Linked DNA regions of Anolis sagrei. The protein of the gene in region 1 interacts with the protein of each later gene in a biochemical or structural test. Links are inferred from orthologs where the notes say so. Each region holds a gene or a part of one and is shown on either strand. Other genes may lie near its edges.

The links.
Region 2: the proteins of PDZK1 (region 1) and SLC15A5 interact in a test that uses a peptide from one of them, tested with the Homo sapiens proteins (2 studies listed by IntAct, with this or other methods). The link is inferred for Anolis sagrei from reciprocal best matches to the Homo sapiens genes PDZK1 and SLC15A5.

Annotation. Positions count from the first base shown.
Region 1 is NC_090023.1:53,628,924-53,639,094, forward strand, and holds the start of PDZK1 (Na(+)/H(+) exchange regulatory cofactor NHE-RF3), read right to left. Parts: upstream 4,574-10,171; 5' UTR 4,449-4,573; intron 3,711-4,448; 5' UTR 3,639-3,710; exon of another isoform or gene 3,635-3,638; intron 1-3,634. UniProt on the Homo sapiens protein: A scaffold protein that connects plasma membrane proteins and regulatory components, regulating their surface expression in epithelial cells apical domains.
Region 2 is NC_090025.1:181,822,415-181,832,313, forward strand, and holds the start of SLC15A5 (solute carrier family 15 member 5), read right to left. Parts: upstream 4,866-9,899; 5' UTR 4,803-4,865; coding exon 4,445-4,802; intron 2,269-4,444; coding exon 2,046-2,268; intron 1-2,045. UniProt on the Homo sapiens protein: Proton oligopeptide cotransporter.

The DNA.
Region 1 (10,171 bases):
CTATTGATTTACTCACATTTGCATGTTTTCAAACTTCTAGGTTGGCAGAAGCTGACGCTAACAGCGGGAGCTCACCCCACTCCCTGGATTTGAACTGCTGACCTTTCGATCAGCAAGTTCATCAGCTCAGCAGTTTAATTCACTGTACCATCAGAGTGCCAAAAGTCACCTTAGACTCATCATAAGTTAGAAATGACTTGAGGCGCCACAATAAAAAGGCCTTTAGTCTTATTAAATCTAATTCTTCACTCATGATACTGGGGGAAACAGAAAGGAAGGTAGGAAGAGAGAGAGAGAAAAGAACTTTTAAGACTTGTTGGTTTTTATTTTTTAACAAAGTTTTGATGATATAAACTCAGTTCTTCAGATACAGCACTGACTGTACTGAAAACAGAGACAACACTTAGTGCTTGTGAAAAAAAAGTCATTGCCCAATACCGAAAAAGTCACTACAAAAGGTTTTGTCAACAAAATCCTATACATGTGTTTTTAAACTAGGTCTCTGTTTAATAGAATTTAGTTCTCTCAGTACAATAGGAAACCTTCAACACAGTTACATTGTGTTAAGTCTTCATCCAGGTAAGAGGACAAAAGGATTCAGGGGATGTTGGTGTCATTCTCAAAGACTAGTCAACCTTATGTACTGGATTGTGAAGCACTATTCAATGAACTGAGAGGATTTTATCAGGAAAACCTTGCAGTATAATGTAGTTACAAAACCGCTGTAAGAGTTAGCTTTGTTTTTCTGAGTTTATCTTCTGAATCCTTTCAGAATAGAGGAGAACATACTGATTAACTAGAATGAATTTCTTTTTCTGAGCCATTTTGAAGGATGTGTATGACGAATTATCTATTTAGGTGAAGGACTTTAGTAAAGGTTCTTTGCAACTACAATGTGAGGATTAAACATTAATAATCACACACAGAGAAAAAATGTAACTATTAATCATTCGCTCTCTAGTGCCCATATAAACTTAAACTAGGAATAGGCTTCTTGTTTGGCGCAAATATATGTGAGCTCTATGTTATTAACCACAACAATTAAATCCTCAGCCAAGGAGCAAATTGTGACTACAATGAATGGCTTGAAAACAGAAGGTCGTTCTTAGGTTGTTGATGGGAAGATCATGGCAGCTTGGCAACCTTTCCAGTTCTTATACAAATGAATGAAGGTCTCCAATCCTAGAGTTTTGCTTAACATTTATGAATGGAGTTTTGTCTTGTTGCTTCCTTGGTACAACTTACAAAATTCCCTAGCTGATGGTCAAATTGATTGGGAAATCTAGAATTTTATAGTGTTTATAAAAGAAAAAAGCAACTTTTCAAAATTCTTGTAATAACAGTAGAGTCTCGCTTATACAACATAAGCGGGCCAGCAGAATGTTGGATAAGCGAAAATGTTGGATAATAAGGAGGAATTAAGGAAAAGCCTATTAAACATCCAATTATGTTATGATTTTACAAATTAAGCAATAAAAACACCATCTTTTACAACAAATCAACAGAAAAAGAAGTTCAAGGCACAGTAACTTATGAAGTAATTACTGTATTTACGAATTTAGCACCAAACCATCGTAATGTACTGAAACAGCTGTGGATTCGGGCAGGACGCAGACTGCGCTGGATAAATCAGAACGTTGGATGAGCAAAGATTGAATAAGTGAGATTCTACTGTTTCCAATTGCTGCTATGCTAGATGTGTTACAATTGTTTTTGACTTCTGTATTCCTTATCACATTGTTGTGCCAATTCGCCCCCTTCTGATCTACAGATTTTCTTTGAAAACTTATGAATAGTTTCATGGAGTAGATATGATGACAGTCTTGTGCCCTTATTAACAAAAGGGTGCTAAAATGATATAGGAGTAGGGAGAGTATTCTGCTGGCGTTTGTTCTGCTAAATGTTTACAGGTGTATGTGCTGAGTTATTAAAACCTGCATGTTTGTGTCCCCCATTTATCATCAGTCAATCAATAAATCAAAATATCTATTGTATTGATGAAGGCTTCTGTAGCCAGAATCATTGGGTTGCTGTGAGTTTTTCGGGCTGCATGACCATGTTCCAGTAGCAAGAAGGGGAATCACACTCATCTTAGTATTCTGGTTCTTGGTTTTTGTTGTGTATTGTTTGAGTGAGTTTTAATGCTGCTGTTTTATACCCTTATGTTTTATTTAATTGGGTTTTATTTGATTGTTATGTTTTGCTATGCTTTATTTTAATTGTGGTTTTTTGTTTTAAAGGATTGTTTTTGTTTTGATGTTTTGTCGACATTTTGTCCCATGCGCCCTGAGTCCCTTCGGGGAGATGGAGGCAGAGTATAAACATAAAGTTATATTATTATTATTATTATTATTATTACTATTGGAACATGGCAATACAGCCCAAAAACTCACAGTAACCCAAAATATCTATTTATCACATTAGATCACAAGATCTGTCGTTGGCACATAATCAATTCAAACAGTTTAAAGCAATGCAAAATGTGATGAGCAATCTGGGTTCTCATTCTTGCCTAACCATACAGGCTAAAAGTTGTCAACAACTCTCCACTTTCAAGAAGAGCTCCATGGGTTCTTAATTAAACTGTGGTTCTGATTATTCATAGCTATCATGTACTTTGCTCATTCTTCCTTTGCTAGTGGATGCTGTAGTTAATATGTAAAGAAGCAATGGTTAATACGTGGAATATCCATCCTAGATAAGGAGAGCGAAGTATGTGGCATTCAGGTCCCCTCTGCCTATTCATTCTTCTTCTTCTAAACACAGCTTAAAGGTAAATTGGGCTTCTAATACTCTAGCAATGCTAGAGATAAAATTGTTCATATTCCTTTACAAAAGCTCCATCTACAATAGCCACCACATCTAACTATAACTAATAGTCATGCATTGTTTGATATCTGATGACCTTCCACATACAGCTGGATTGCAAGTCCCATCATACCTCAGTAGTAGGTTTACTGACTAAGGCAATTTTATAACATTTTTGGTCCATACATTTCCACTCCTTCAACACTTTCGGCACACTATGCTGAATATGTGTTGACATAGGAGAAGGATCAACATCACTGATATTATTAGCATTATCATTATAATAAATCTGGGGCTCAAGGTTCAGTATAACTTTTGAAAACTTCAATAGTCAATCAAGAATCTTTTCAAGCATCATAAACAAGTTCTTTCACAGGTTCTACCAAATATGCAGTTTTACAAGTGCCATATAGACCCCTATCAATATCATTTCAGTAATCCACATATAACAGAATTCGGAATAGGCTCTTGATTTTATAAATTAATCCGTATGGTCCATAGTGAAGTAGTATTGAAAGAAATGAGCATGCTTAGTTCTGTTTGTAAGATTGTAGGCAGGCTTTTATGAAGGAGGAGATAAAATAAAATGTCAGTCTACAGAAGAATCAGGTGGCCTTCTCTGACTTTAGGTTATGTTAAACAAAACTACAAATCTCATGATTCCAGAGCATTGAGGCATGGCAGTCAAGTGATGTCAAACTACATTAATTCTCCAGTGTAAATGCACCCTAGGTATCAAGGAGTTCCTGAAAGATGTAAAACAATAGACTAAATCTAATTTAAAATGCGGAAGATTTGAAAAAGAGGGATTCAAAAATTTTCTTACTTGCCTGTGTAGAAGTTGGATCCTTAGAACATTCTGTACTATCTCATTCTGCTGCATCAGTAAGGATGGCCACACTCTGAATGGGCAAAGGTTGATTTAAAAGATGATTTATTTAACTGGGTTTCATTACTTATGTTGGACTGCTTGATAACCAATCTTTTCCCCACCCTCATTCTTCCCAGCTGAGCACTGAGTTTCCTTTAGTAACTCTAGATTCTGCCCTCGTGGCTCACTGATCATTGCAGTTGCCATGATTTTGCCCCTGCAGCACAGCCAAGACACATCTGATCTTTGATACAGCTGACTTTTCTTTTCGTTCATACAAAGAGGTTCAACTATGGATTTGTAAACATATAGACATTTGTCATGTACCCAATACATCCAAAACCCATAGATTGTTATGATATGAACCATGATTATGGAATGAGTGGACTAGATATTGTTGGATAGCAAGTTCCATCATCCGTCAAAACTGGCCGAACAGGCAAGGACTGATGAAAGCTGCAATCTGGAAGCATTTAGATGAGCACACTTTCCCCATTTTCGTAGACAAACACCATCTGTTGAAACAAAGGCCATAAGCTTCTTCGCCAAAAATATTTTTTACACTCAAATGCAAGATTATCCTTCCAAAGGACATATTACTTTTCTTCCTTCTTCTTACCATACCCATGTGTTTGAAAAATACCCCAAATGGTAGAAATACAAGCTAGAAATCATACCTCACTAACCAAAGCAATGCATTGTAATAATCTTTAGTTAGCCATCTGATAGTATTTTGAAAGGCTGAATACAAAAAGAAGGTATTCCATACCTGGCACGCTTACAGCCTTCCTATGTTCAGAAACATAAAGCTCACATTTGCCTTACAGACTACATCACAGCTTGCTAAATCCACTCCCACTCTCAGCCCTTTTCGAGCAAAGCTACTGACCTAATTCCCATGAAGCACCTGTAAACATTTCGGGCTTATCCACCACAGATTTAAAGTAGCTTAATGATAATTTCCTTTCCCCAGGGGAGCATGGGAATTATAGTTCTTGTGAGGTGAGTGAAGAATCTTTAATTACAGATATAGCAACGGTTAAACTCAAGCACGGGTCCCAACATACAGATGACTCTACACCTTCTTCCCATAACAAGGCATTTGATTATTATTTTTAACTGGCAGTTTCATTTATTCATTGAAATTGTCTCTGCGTGGAAGCTTTCCTGATGACAGTCAGACTGAAGTGGAAATGATCAAGGAATGAAATACAGAGTTGCAAAGACATTTATACATATTATATGTTGTTGATATTATTGGTGTTGCATGCTTTCAAGTCCTTTCTGATTTTTTTTTTTATAACCTTAAGGCTTTTCTGGTGCTGATAGTGTGTGACTCACCCAAGGTCATCCAGTGGGTTTCCATGGTCAAGTGGTGAATCAAATCCTGGTCTCCAGAGTCACAGTTCAGTGTTCAAATCACTACATCACACTGGTTCTTCCCATATACCCTCCAACAATTCTTAGATGAAAACCGAGACATAGGTGAACAAAACAAAACAAAACAAAAAACCAAACAAACATCTGAATATGACAAGATGATAACAGTTATTAATGAGAAAGAACACAAAATCCAGGATAGAGTGAAGCTTTTGTCTGATGGGGATGGCTATACTCCTCTTCTATTCCCTTCTCCCAATGTGCTGTGTTAATTGACGGCAAACTACCTGTTCATGCTGGATGGGGTTACATTCCCAATGAAATCTCAGATTTTACAGCTTGAGTCCTCTCTGGAGTTGGATCTGAGCTGAGCTGTTCAGAAGTGGCAAGGAATTTATTTGTAGCTAAAACCAGTAAACCAGTTGTGCTTGTTTCTGGAGATGTCAGACCTGTTCATGGTAACAGAAACTGGAGAGCATCCAAAATGCTACAGCCAGGCTCCTGATTTGACTGATCGACAAGGGATAGAGCCTTCTCAGCGGATACTCCCCACTTCTGGAAATATTTCCAGAGGAGGCTTGGTAGACCTCTTCCTCCTCTCTTTCCTGCAGCAAAGACTTGGGCTGGAATTCACTGATGCAGTTATGGATGCACAACCTAGAAGTATGTATTTATTACATTTACTTAGGCGATCCCTCATAGTCCGAGGATGATGGTCTTCCAAGGTCGGTGTTCGGTGTGGGTCCATAGGTGACTGTGGAGCCCTATTCTTGATCTACATCTTTTCCCACAGTGAGGGCAATGGTTTCCAGGTGGAAGGCGGTCCTGGTCGGGGTTGGCTTGATGTGCCTTCCTCTTGGCACATTTCTCTCTTTCATCATCCATTCGTGCCTCTTCAAATTCTGCAGCACTGCTGGTCACAGCTGACCTCCAACTGGAGCATTCAAGGGCCAGGGATTCCCAGCATTTATTACAAGAACATTAATGATTCCTATGTGTTGCATAGTTTAGAGGATATCTAGAATTCACAGAAATCCCCTATCTCCACTTATAGAGCACTGCAAGTGACAGGGGCCCATCTCCCTGTTAATTTGCATCTCCCTCTCATGCAAGTGATCTGTGACATGAGGTGTATATTTGTATATATATTTACAACACCAGTCACCTGCTACCAGCGATATTTGACAGGTTGTGGACACCTAACCAAATAGATACTTGATATAAAACATAGCCTTCAGATAATAGTTGTATTGCAATAATAGATATGGAATATGTGAAATAGCTATTGGAATGTCCCTGAACTATGATTATGGGTGGCTTCATTTTTAATATTGAATGTAATGTTTTTAAATGTTTAATGTATATTAATTTTATGAGCCTCCAGTGGCACAGCGGGTTAAACTGCTGAGCTGCTAAACTTGCTGATTGAAAGGTTGTGGTTTGAATTTGGGGAGTGGGGTGAGCTCCCACTGTTAGGCCCAGCTTCTGCCAACCTATCAGTTTGAAAGCATGCAAATGTAAGTAGATCAATAGGTAGTGCTCTGGCAGGAAGGTAGCGGCAGGAAGGTAACGGCGCTCCATGCAGTCATGCTGGCCACGTGACCTTGGAGGCATCTACAAACAATGCCAGCTCATCGGCTTAGAAATGGAGATCAGCACCCCCCCCCCCCCCCAGAGTCAGACATGACTAGACTTAGTGTCAGGGAAAACATTTACCTTTACCTTTACATTTATGTATTAATTTTAATTTTAATTTAACTGTTCATTGGAATTGTATGTTGCTTTAAGGCATTGAATAATTGCCTGTATGTAGGCTGCCTTGAGTCCCCTTCAGGGTTGAGAAAGGCAGAGTATAAATAGGGTAAATAAATAAAATAGTTTCTGTTTACAGATTTATGAACAGATAAGAAACAATTGTGTTCAGTGAATTTCTTTCCTATCAAAAAACAATGGTCCTTTCCTCATTTTTTCCTCTGGTTTTTAATCAATAGTTTGAAACTTAGTTTATTAGTTTAAAAAGCAGCAGTATTTGTTTGTATAAAGAGATTTCCATTGTGTGAAACCCAACATTGTGTCTTATTTCACTTGTGCATAAATCCAGCAGTGCTCCAACTTCACATTTGCGGGAGTAAGGGTTCTCATGTGCTGTTTTCCATTTATAATTCTCCCATATTATCCTATTGTTTCTCTTCTGCCTTCTTATGAATCAGGAGAAAGACCATGTGGCTTTCCTGATGTTGGATAGAAATGCCCAACGATTCTGAGCAACACAGGCCCCTTCCACACTGCCATACAATATCCAGATTATCTGCTTTGAACTGGATTATATGGCAGTGTGGAAGAGGCCACAGTTGTTGAGAGTGACAGTACGACAGCGTTTGTAAGACCACATTCTTCCCAGCAGTGGTTTAAAGGAAATAATATAAAAGGTAATTGTGACACTCAGCCAATAGAAACTCCAGCCAGGGGAAAAGTTAAGCACAAAAGAGTCCATATATTTTGCCAATAAAGGCAGGAAAACTATAATTCAGTTCTCATTTTACCACAAACTCTTTGTCTTTTCCTCTCTGTGGAGAGAGATATTTTTGGATAATTTCTGGTCAGCCACACATAAAAGACACAATATATTAGTTCTCTTTGCGCAACAATGTTTTCTCCAGGTGAATAATTGCTTGACATTTCTTGGATGGAGAGTTACAATTGCTTATCTTGAATTCCCATCATAGGTCATTTCAAGTTTAAGGCATTCCTTCATAAGATTCTCCCACACAATTTATGACAGAATAAAATAGACGCTGCTTGGTCTGCTTGTGCTAAGTCCACAAAAAGGAATTACCTTACATTCTTACTTCAACTGCCATTTGATTTGTGTCTCTTTTGTTAAGGAGCATTCATATAGAGGCACCAAGGCATTACCCCTTATAGCTTAGCAATTTTACAACCATACAAGCATTTTTCTTCATTGTTAGCTGAATGTTGTATGCTACAGGTTTGTACTCCAAGAGTAGTGGAATGGTGAGTAGTTCCTGATGGCTGCTCTGGATCTTGGAATGCCCTTCCAGAACCTCTAGGTGTTTTGGACTTCAGCTTTTACAACTCCTAATGGCTGTTAAGTTGGCTGGGATTTCTGGGAGTTGAAGTTCAAAACATTTGGAGGACTTTTTGGTGTGGCACGTTAACTGAAAATCACGTGGCTTCCTATCAGTGAACTGAGACTAGGAGAGGCAATTATTTACGTGTCCAGATGTTATTGAAGTATCTGCTATGGCAGCATTAGTCATCATAGATAATGATGAAAAATGCTAGAAGATTTAGTCTCACACAATATGATTCTCATCCCAGTGTAGGGAGGTAAAAGTATTTTTTTTCTCGTGTCAGGATCGACTTGAGAAACTGCAAGTCGCTTCTGGTGTGAGAGAATTGGCTGTCTGCAAGGATGTTACCCAGGGGATGCCTGAATGTTTTGATGTTTTACCATCCTTATGGGAGGCTTCTCTCATGTCCCCACATGGTGAGCTAGAGTTGACAGAGGGAGCTCATCCGTGCTGTCCCCAGATTTGAAACTCCGACCTGTTGGTCTTCAGTCCTGCCGGCACAAGGGTTTAACCCATTTCACCACTGGGGGCTCCAGGTAAAAGTATAAGATAACTTCTTATGGTCCTAATGAAATGAATGATAACTAGATACATTTTATGCTTATAGAATTCAAAGACATGGCCTTGTTAGTCAGGATAAGTACACAAAGGGATACTGTAAGATATCTTAGCACCTTTGAGACTAAAACTTGTTGCATAAGCTTTCATAGAACAGATTTATTTATTTTATTTATTTCCAACATTTCTAGCCCATCCTTCTCAACCCCCGAATGGGGACTCAGGGCAGCTTATAATGGCAGCAATTTGTTGCGACACCATACAACACATTACGTACAACATTATACAAAAGCGAAAACATTAGATTAAAATACATTTAAAACATTATTATCATGTAGCCGAATCAAAGTCTAATTTAGCAACCGGTGACCCAGTCCAAAGCCTGTCATAGTCAAAATTCCAACATTATGATTACTGTCAAACCTACTGTCCAACGGCGTGGTCCCAAAACCATGTTTTGAGCTTCTTTCTAAAAGAGAGGAGGGATGGAGCTGACCTAATCTTGCTACAGTATGCATTTACTGGATCAATTCATTTCATAAAGTAGACTTGGGATGCATCTACTCTGTAGCATTAAGGTAATTTGATACCACTTAAATAACCCTGGATTAATGCAGAGAAAGCCAAAGACTTTGAAAAACCATGTTTTGAGCTTCTTTCTAAAAGAGAGGAGGGATGGAGCTGACCTAATCTTGCTACAGTATGCAGAGAAGGCCAAAGACTTTGAAAAACTACAGCTCCTAAAATACCGTAGCATTGAGCCATGGCTGTTAAATTAATGTCAAACAGTGTTACTTCTACGGTACACCCTGAGTCCATGAAAGCTTAGGTCAGAAACTTATTGCACTCAGTTAGTTTTAGAGGTGCCTCAGTACCCCTTTGGTTACATTCTATGCTGTTTGTTAGCTAGAAACACATAATTGCTGGTATCTTATTTGTGACAAATGCAGAGGTACATCTTGCATATGCTATCTTTTTGAGTTGTGAAGGCTGGTACTTCTTTCTTCTGCAGTTGCAAAAGGCCTTCACTTGGACTCACAGTTGTTTTATGACAGTCCCTTCCTGCCATTTCATTACTGAAATCTCAGAATCATGTGGCTATCTTCCTATATCCAGATGCAGACCAATGACATCACCTGTTATGACTGCTAGAGCTGTGGTTCTCAACCTTTAGCGTCTCTGACTATTGGTCAAGGTGGCTGGGGCCCTTAGAAAGTGCTTGGGATGATGAGGATTTGAGAACCACTGCTCTAGAGAACTCCAGCAGATCTGAAAGGCCTTCTTCAGCTATAATATACCACTTTAACTGCCAATGTTGTGGGATTCTGGTATTTTCAATTTCAGATAGCTCTGGTGCCACAACAAACTACAAATCCCAGGAATACCTAGAAGGGAACCATGGGAGTTATATCAGTGCAGTGAAGCAGGCAAACCAGCATGGTAATTGAATTCCCTATCA
Region 2 (9,899 bases), on another chromosome or scaffold:
CCTGGAGTGTGGTGGAGGCTCCTTCTTTGGAGGCGTTTAAACAGAGTCCACTTGTCAGGAGTGCTTTCAATGAGATTTCCTGCTTCTTGGCAAGGGGTTGGACTATGATTCTATTATTCTAAGTTGCATTTTATCAAAGACCTTTCTCTAGATTAATGACGTGGGCCACACATTTCGTTTTCAAGTTCATCTACAGCTATAAAAACTAGTTTCTTTTTAATCACCTGCCTTTCTTAGTTTACCCAAAAAGCCTGAAGCAATGTCCTGTGTGGATTGTCCCAAAGAAACTTTTGATATGCATTCATCTTCTCCCCTTTGTCATCAACACCAGAAAGTGTCGCTTTGATTTTAAGAAAAAACTCTCTCTGAATTGCAAGAACTCCAGCACTATAAATTCTCCTGAGCAACTGTTCAGCTCGGTCTTCTGCCTTTATTCTCCGGAGTCTTATTTAATCAAAATGATGTTTCTAATTAAGGATTAAAACCCAGAATTGAACGTTTAAAGAGGGATTTCCCCCCTCTTTCCTATACTCCTTTGGGTAGGTCAATGAGGAAGAATTTGCTTCAAGGAACTAAACAATCTTTTCACCTTCAGTTAGAAGCAGCAATATTTAAGAAAGAGCTCAGATATGATCCAAAAATGCACCAGAGAAGGTTGGAAAGAGGAAACTGTTCCCATAGGAATACAGTGTGATGTATTTCCATAGCAATTTTACATTATACCCACTGTAAGTTCATACCATGTACACCTTTCCATGTAAATTCATATTATCTTTCAGGAAATAGCACATTTAGGCCTATGCCAAGATCAGAAACCCATTCACACTATAGAATCGTAGTGCTATTATTCTGATTTAACCGACATGGTTCAACCTGTGAAAACCTAGAATTGGCAGTTTAGGAAGGGGCACACCAGTGTGGCACATTGGTTTGAGTGCTGGACTATCTCTGGAGCCCAAGATTGGAATCCTCACTTGGTCCTGAAAGTCCACTGGGTTGACTCTGGTCAAGTCATACACTCTCAGCCCATTACAGCTCACAATAGGTTCACCTTAGGGTCATCATAAGGTGGAAATGATTTGAAGGCACACAACAATTCAGAATTCTTAGAGAGTTTCAGTGCCTTACCAACTGACAAATCACAGGATACCATAGGATGAAATCATGGCAGTTAAAGTGGAGACATAATGCTCTAACTGTATAGTGTGAATGGCCCCCACGTTGCATGTCTAATGAGAGCCAACACAAAAGTATCCCACCATCTGCTTTCTTGCATGAGAAGGCTCTAGGTAGATTACTACTGTTTTTTCTATGTTTTTCAGGAAAACCGACAGATCAGAGATATGAGATTGCCAATATACTTAAAAATAAACATATACAGATTGAAATCTCTTCAGGAAAAGTATTTTAATTAGGGCTAACTCAAGTGGTAGAGGTCAATGCCCACCAAACCCTTCCAGTATTTTCTGTTGATCATGAGAGTACTGTGTGCCAAGTTTGGTTCAATTCCATTGTTGGTGGAGTTCAGAATGCTCTTTGATTGTAGGTGAACTATGAATCCCAGCAACTCCCAAATGACAAAATCATTCTCCCCCAACTCCACCAGTATTCAAATTTGAGCATACAGGTATGTATGCCAAATTTCATCCAATGAATGAAAATACATCCTGCATATCAGATATTTGCATTATGATTCAAAACAGTAGCAAAATTATAGTTATGAAGTAGTAACAAAAATAATGTTATTGTTGGAGGTCACCACAACATGAGAAACTGTGTTAAGGGATTGCAGCACTAGGAGGTTGAGAACCAATGGAGTAGAGAGAAATGGGGGATATATTCCTTAGCATCAGATATATTGATTATGCTCTATTGAGAAGAGTCGTGTGTGAAATTCTATCAGACATGGCTGGACGTTCTTCGAAATTCCCAAAGTAGCAGTCAGAATAACATTTCGTTAGATGAAATATGGCATATTCAGCTACCAAGATCTTCCCAATGACACCCCAACCCATGCTTATTCTCCCATTCCAACAGATACTGACCAGTTGAAAAATGGCAGGCGCTCCTTTTGACCCGTTTCATCAAGATTATACAGGCGGAGAGGACACACTAGGACCCTTATTCCTCCTGAACCAAGACAGGTGGCAAGCAGTCCAATGTAAAACAGTGCCTTTTGTTCCCTCTTTGGCAAGGTGTGAAGGACATAGCGTTTGTCTATGAAAAAATCTTCAAATGGGAAGGCAACAACAGGCAACAGGGCTGTACCTGCAACAGGAGAGATGGGCACATGAGACGGAAAGAAGGGCAGGATTAAAGGCTATACATAAAACCAGATTTTTTAAAAGTTACTTTGGAGTAAAATTCCCAGAATCCCCCCAGGCAGCAAAGCTGTAGTTAAAAAACAAACAGCATTTCCAAACTTTAAAGCAGTTGTTCCCAATATTTGGTAATCCAGGTGAACATGAGGAAGAACTTCCTAACTGTGAGAGCTGTTCAGCAGTGGAACTCTCTGCCCCAGAGTATGGTGGATGCTCCTTCTTTGGAAGCTTTTAAACAGAGGCTGGATGGCCATCTGTCAGGGGCGCTTTGAATGCAATATTCCTGCTTCTTGGCAGGGGGTTGGACTGGATGGCCCATGAGGTCTCTTCCAACTCTATGATTCTATGATTCATGGATTTCAGCTCCCAGAATTCCTGACAGGCGGCAAAGCTCGCTGGGGCTTCTGGGAGATAAAGTGCCAAATCCTTTGAGGACTATAGGTTTGCAACCACCGTATAAAAAAGTTTGGGGGGTTTTTTTGCATAGAGTTACCAACTAGAAACTGGAGAAAGCTCCTGTACCTCTAATGCAGGGAAACTCGTTTTCAACACATCAGCTTTATGGTTGCCCTCAAAGGGACATTTTAAAATTGTATAAATGTAATGATGTTGCTGTGGCATTGAAAGCCTTGCAGGCTACATAAAATGATGTGGCATTTCACATATGTGATCTGATGGTTGTGTAGAAGAGGAAGTCACTTGCCACAAAATCAGGCAGTAAACAGCATCTACCGATGTTCACTTCTTCACAAATATTAAATGTACAGGAGCCCTCTCTAGTTTACAGTCTGGCAGATGTACACCAACTCACCAGATAAGAGGCTAAATCAAATTTTAGTCACAATAAAAGTGGATTCAGTGAAATTAATGGGACCTCCATTTGCCAACCCTAATAAGTACCATCCATTTCAATCAATTAAACGGTATGTTCTCTAGGGTTGTGCATTTAGGGTAAACCCTGACCTGTTTCATGCTTCAGCATTTGTTGGAGGCCCTGATCCATTTTTGGGAGCCTCCTGAAATCAGGAAGGCAGACATCAGTTTTTGCTCTCTGATATCAGAAGATCAATTTTCTATCAGCCCATTATTGGGGTAGTGGGAGGGAGGCTTCTCATCCAGTCTACCCTTCCCAGCACACACTTTAATGAGGCTTCTTCTTACCTGCTGCTTCTACTCTACTTGGCTGTAGGACCTGGCAAGTGTGAGCGCTCCTGCATTCCACACACACTCTCTTCTTGGAATGTGTGTGTGTGTGTGTGGTGTGCAGGAGCACGCACACCTGGCAGGCATGGGCATTCTGGGCCTGCACACCACACACACACACACAGAGTTTCCAAGGAGAGTGTGTGTGTGTGGTGTGTAGGAGTGCCCATACCTGCCAGGGCTTGCAGCTGAGCACTTCTTACTTTGTGATGCCAAAAAGCAGACAAGGAGCTGGGACCAGCTCCTGCTTGCTTTTGTGTCAAGCTGATTTTCATAGGGGGAGAGGACTTCCTGTTACAATCTCCTGAAATAATGAAGGACACGAAAGAAACGAAGGAAACGGGAGAAATGAATTTCACACACAATTGTACTGTTCTCTTTCTCAGACTCTCCAAATATGATTGGCCTGTAAGTACCAGCAGCTCCAGCCACCATAGTGAGGAATCCTCCTCAGACTTGTAGTTCAGCAGTCTCCACAAGGATGCATGATTCCCATATATGATTTAACCCAAGATACCCAAATGTGTTAAATCTCTTCTGTACCTCTCGAGCAATAATTTCAGCAACATCAACTATATGCTATTATTGTTTCTCTGGCTGGAAGATGGAAGCCATCTTCCCAAGCACACTGCAGAATTATAGCAGTTTGACACTTCTTTAACCATGTTGGCTTAATCCTATGAAATCCTTGGATTTAAACTACAAATCCCAGAATTTAATGGCATAGAGCTATGACAGTTAAAGTGGTGACAAATTGCTATAATTCTGCAGTGCATATAGCCCATGGGGCTATAGGTGCTTTGTTACTTGCAGGCACCTCCATTTTGATATAGGAGCACCAGATTTTAAGAAGCCACAGTCTGAACACACCTTGCATTACAAACAACTGTCAGAGAATAGCACAACAAGGTACAACTTACCTATAAAATGCAGCAATGCACAGATATATACCAATTTGATTCGTCCCCCCGGACTTTCAGCAAGCCAGCCCATCAGAGAAGGGGTCACCATGCAGGCACCTGAAAAGCAAAGGTTGATCATGGCTGCCTGGTAGTTGTGGTAGCCAAGTTTGATGGTGCAGAAAAGGATCATGTTGCAGACAATGCCGAAAAAAGTGAATTTTTCACACAAGTCCACCAGGACAGCATAGAGCATCACCTGGATCTCCTTCTGAAACTTTGAGCCAACTTGTTGGGTCTGAGACTTCCTCCTCTCCTTCCTGGGACTGTTGTTCAAAAGTCGTGGGTCTTGAATGAAACTGATGCCCGAGGGAGGCATGGCGATTCGATCAAACAGATAAGCCAAGCTTAGAGCGACACAGATTTCCTGAGCTGTACACTTCAGCAGCGACCCTCTCCTGCAATTAACCCACAAGTGAGACATTTGTGTTAAATTCCACACCTTGCCGTGACAATTCTCAGAACTTCTCTTATATTCCTGCTTTCTGATCCAAGACCTCAATGGTAACTTATTTGACAGTGCAACTTGGGTGGCAACCAATCTGTTTAATTAGCGTGCTATGTGGCAAATGCAATCTTGGCTCCTTCCCACCGGCAAACAATTGCCTATTAAAATGATGTGAATCCAATACCATGTGCAACAAACTTTATCTGCCTCTTACAGATAAAGGTTTAAATACCGATGAAGTCTAATGCACCTCAGCAAAATTCTAGTATGAGGATCCAGAAAATAATGTGGGGCTAATATTCCAATGTTTTAATTAAGCAAACGCAAATAAAACTGGAAGCAAAGAGATAAAGACGCAAAGGATACATGTTAGCAGATGAACAATAGCTTATCATTATTACATTTTTGGTTATTTTGGAGTTCAATTCCGATAAAGAAGTTAATTAGAGGGGGAAATATGGGCCACTAGATTTAAGTGTAATAAGTAGCATCCTCATCCATTCACCTTCTTCCTAATAATTACAATCTATTCATGAACAAGTTGGGAGCAGAGATGAGGAAAATGTTCAGGGGATATTCTAAGCCAGTTTTTCCCTTGCTTACAACTGAATTTTAGGGGCTTTTTGGGAATTTACTTGACCACATGAGAATGGGATGCGGGTAGACTAGGATAGGAATGGGGTAATCTTCCAGAGGGTGTTGAACTGTAACTTTCCAGCATTCCTCAGCAATGACTATGCTGTCTAGTATAATGGAGTAGCAATCCAGCAGTGAATCAATATGGTGTAGTGGCAAAAGGTACTAACTGAGTGTCAGATAGCACTCCAAGGGAACACAGTTCCACTCAGCCATGGAAACTGGTTAACTTATCTTGTGCAGGTCACACTCTTTCAATCTCAGAAAGTCAATGGCACATCACATCTGAATAATTCTTGTCTAGAAAACCCTAAGGTAGGATTGCTATACATACAACTTCAAGGCATATAATAACAAAAACAAGTCCAACAATACTAGAGGGCTATAGGTTTCCCACCCTAAGTTGGAGGAATGAGGGTTTCACAAATGCTAGATTCTCATGCCTACCCAGCCCAGCTTTCACAAGCCGACTTTTAAGCAAGTTGCTCTGATAGCGCACTCTATTTGGGATTTATAGTTTGCTGGGATACATAGAATTCTCTGCTCGAGAGCTCTATGCCCATCTCCCTGGAACTATAGCTCCTTAGACATCTTGACTTAATTCTCAACCTCTTTCTTCTTAGGCAATGTTTCTCAGCCTTCCCAATGCCATGACCCCTTACTACAATTCCTCATGTTGTGGTGAACCCCAACCATAACATTATTTTCGTTACTGTAATTTTGCTACTAATCATCTCCCATCAAAGGATTCCCTCAGGCGGGAAGTAGCAAGCCTTTGAAGCTGATCAGTCACAGCATTCACACTTCCCTCATGCAGACAAAAGTTCTTTCTCCCACCCCTGGACACTCCATAGATATATAAACCCCACTTGCCTAGTTTCCAACAGACCTCACAACCTCTGAGGATGCTTCCCATAGATGTGGGTGAAACGTCAGGAGCGAATGCTTCTGGAACATTGGCTATACAGCCTGGAGAACTCATAGCAACCCAGTGATTTTGGCCATGAAAGCCTTCGACAACACAATTTTAAACAATGTTTTAGGTTAACCTCTAACAGCCAACAGTAAGAAATAGGAATGGTAATACCTCCCTCCCCTTTTATCCTGTGTAGCATTAAACAAAGAGATAACTCCATTATAGAGAACTCAGCCCCAAAGTACTTTTCTGGCATTAACCTAGGGCTTATAAGAAGAGAAAGAAGTCAATTTAGAGCATGTTTAGAAACCTGGGGTTGGGACAGATAATGGGCGAGAGCAAAGCTGCTTCTGCACATTTTTAGTAGCAAACTCAAATAGTAGTAGTTATAAGTATGACCTTTCTTACCTGTCTTCTTCCCTTTTTCTCACTTCTGCAAAAGAGTCTTCTGTTCTTAAAGGAGCCCTGAAAGACACCCAGCCTTGCGATGACTTATTCTATGGCCCAGGAATGGGAAAGAATTAAGGAGAAATCCAATATATACTTTTTGGGGAGTAAATCCATTGGCTTATGCTTCCCTGTCAACATGCAAAGGTCAGAGCATAGTCACCAAACACACAGCATGAGACCCTACACTCAGAGGGCTGGGCTGAGTAACCCTCAAGAGGTACATTTCCCATTTGCAGCCCCACGACCTCAATGCAGCTCCACTCAGAATGGTAATTCGACGTCTTAAGACCATTCACATTTATTGCAAAGCCAAACAACTTTAAGTAAAGTGGGCTTTACATTTTTTAAGGTGAATCTGCATGTATTTGTGTGATTTATTGTGCTTTCAAGAAGAAGGATTGCCTGTGTTGCTATGTTCTTGGAAGGTCCACACGAGCTGAAGAAAGTGTACAAATGGGTTATAGGTCAATCGGAAGAGACAAGGTAGTAAATTCCGGCAAGAGATAGATATGCACTAAGGTCTTCTTGTCTGGTTATGGGAAATCTTTTGGGCAACATTGATTTTACTCACTGAGAAAATATCTCATATGTTTGTTTTGATTTTTTGTGCTTCTTTGTAATCTTCAGGACTAGACACCCAAAGATATAGGAGCTGAGTCTCATGACACCAGTTTCACAAACAGATATGAATGTAGGGATGGTCACATTTCTCTTCTTCCAACCCAGGTGTATCCATTTCACATAATTATAGCAGTTTGATGCTAGTTAAAGTGCCATGGCTCTTATGGGAATTCTGGGATTTGCAGTTCAATGAGATACTTAGGATTTTCTAGTATACTTCCTTAAAGTCTGGTAGAGAATTCCAAATATCTCACCAAACTATATATCCCATAAGATCAAGCCATGGCAGTTAAAATGGCATAACAGTGTGTAGGGTAGCTAGCTATATAATACATTTCAACTCGCTTTTTTGCAATCCTGGGAATTTTTTTAAGCACTAGCCATAAAAGAAAAGATGGCAAAAAGCAGATATATGACTGTTTCGTGAACTTGAAAAAGTTTTTTTAAAAAACCCACCTCTGGCCATGATTGCTAAGAGATTTGGAGAACTACAGTCCAAACATAACTTTCTTAAGATTTGACCATTTCTAGGTGACCTTTACTTACTTATTTACTTACTTAGGCAATCCCTCGTAGTCCGAGGATGATGGTCCTCCAAGTTTAGTGTCTTGGTGGCTGTGGAACCCTGTTCTTGCTCCATATACTCACCCTCAGTGAGGACATGAGTTTCCAGGTAGAAGGTGACCCCAGTCAGGGTTGGTTTGACATGCCTTTCTGTTGGCACACTTCTCCCTTTTGCCCTCCATTCATGTCTCTTTGAATTCTGCATCACTGCTGGTCATAGCTGACCTCCAGTTAGAGCTCTCAAGGGCCAGGCCTTTCCAGTTCTCAGTGTCTATGCCACAGTTTTAAAGGCTGGATTTAAGCCTATCTTTAAGTCTCTTTTCCTGTCCATCAATTCTTGAGTTGGGTGTATAGTAACTGCTATGGAAGACGGTGATCGGGCATTTGGACAACATGGCCAGTCCAGTGAAATTGATGGTGTAGGTGACCACAGGACAATGAATGTTTCAAATGTTAATGCTTCTTTATATGTTTGAATAAAGGTAAGGGAGGGAATTTGAATGACTGCTGGATCAGCAGCAGAAGACTGGAGGTTAGCCTATTTTAAATCAGCCCTGGAGTAACCCCATATGCGACATTTTTGTGTCAAATCCAGGCCATTTATGAAATATTTATTTATTTATTTATTTATTTGATGCATTTATTAACCGCCATTCTCAGCCCTTTAGGGCGACTCATGGCGGTGTGCACACATGTAAAAGACAGTTTACAAAGAAGCAATTACAACAACATATAAACTACATAACAATTACAAACTACACTAAAAATCCGCTTCGTCTCATAGTAGAATCATAACCAATCTCATATTCCTTGTTCCATTCCAGTCATCTTTACCACATTGTTATAGCACTTAATTAAATGCCTTCTCGAACAGCCATGTCTTGAGGCTTTTTCGGAAGGACATGAGGGAGGGCGCCTGTCTGATGTCTGCAGGGAGAGTGTTCCACAGCCAGGGGGCCACCACCGAGAAGGCCCTCTCCCTCGTCCCTGCCAGACGTGCCTGTGAGGCAGGCGGGATCGAGAGAAGGGCCTCCCCAGACGATCTCAAGGTCCTCGTGGGCCTGGACTACATGTGCACTGCTGGGATGTCTTGCACCTCACTTCCTCCATGTCTCCTCTGCACTTAGCTAGATATCGAGCCCTAAAGTATCCCCTTATTTTGGAGATAAAGAACTCTGAAACCACTCTCCTGAACATACTGACTATGGCTGGATCTACACTGCCCTATATCCCAGGATTTGATCCCAGATTATCTGCTTTGAACAGGATAATGTGAGTCTTTACTGCCAGAAAATATGGGATAAAAAGATAATCTGGGATCAGATCCTAGGATATAGGGCAGTGTAGATCAAGCGCTAGTCAGTATGTTCAGGAGAGTGGTTTCAGAGTTACCTATCTCCATTTGAGACTGAAATCCTGGTTCTTCCCTGCCTTGATTATACAAGTTGCTTTAAGGAGGTCAGAGGAATGGAGGTATCTGGAGCAGGCATGCTACTTCCTACAAATTACTTTATGGGCATTCGCTCAAAGGTAAGGTCTACTGAGTTCAAGAGGGCTTGCTCCCTAGTTAGTGCTGGCGAACAACTAGGAGTTTCACACATTTGAAGCCATGTAAACAAATCATATTTTTCTATTAGCAACCTCTCTGCTGTGAAGATTGTTTAGCAGCCAAAATCATATAGCAGCATATTTTTTCTATCAATCATGTGTAGGCACAAAGCTGCCAGACATTTTTAATTTTATTTTAATTTTATTTATTTGTTTGGCAAATCTCCTGTACC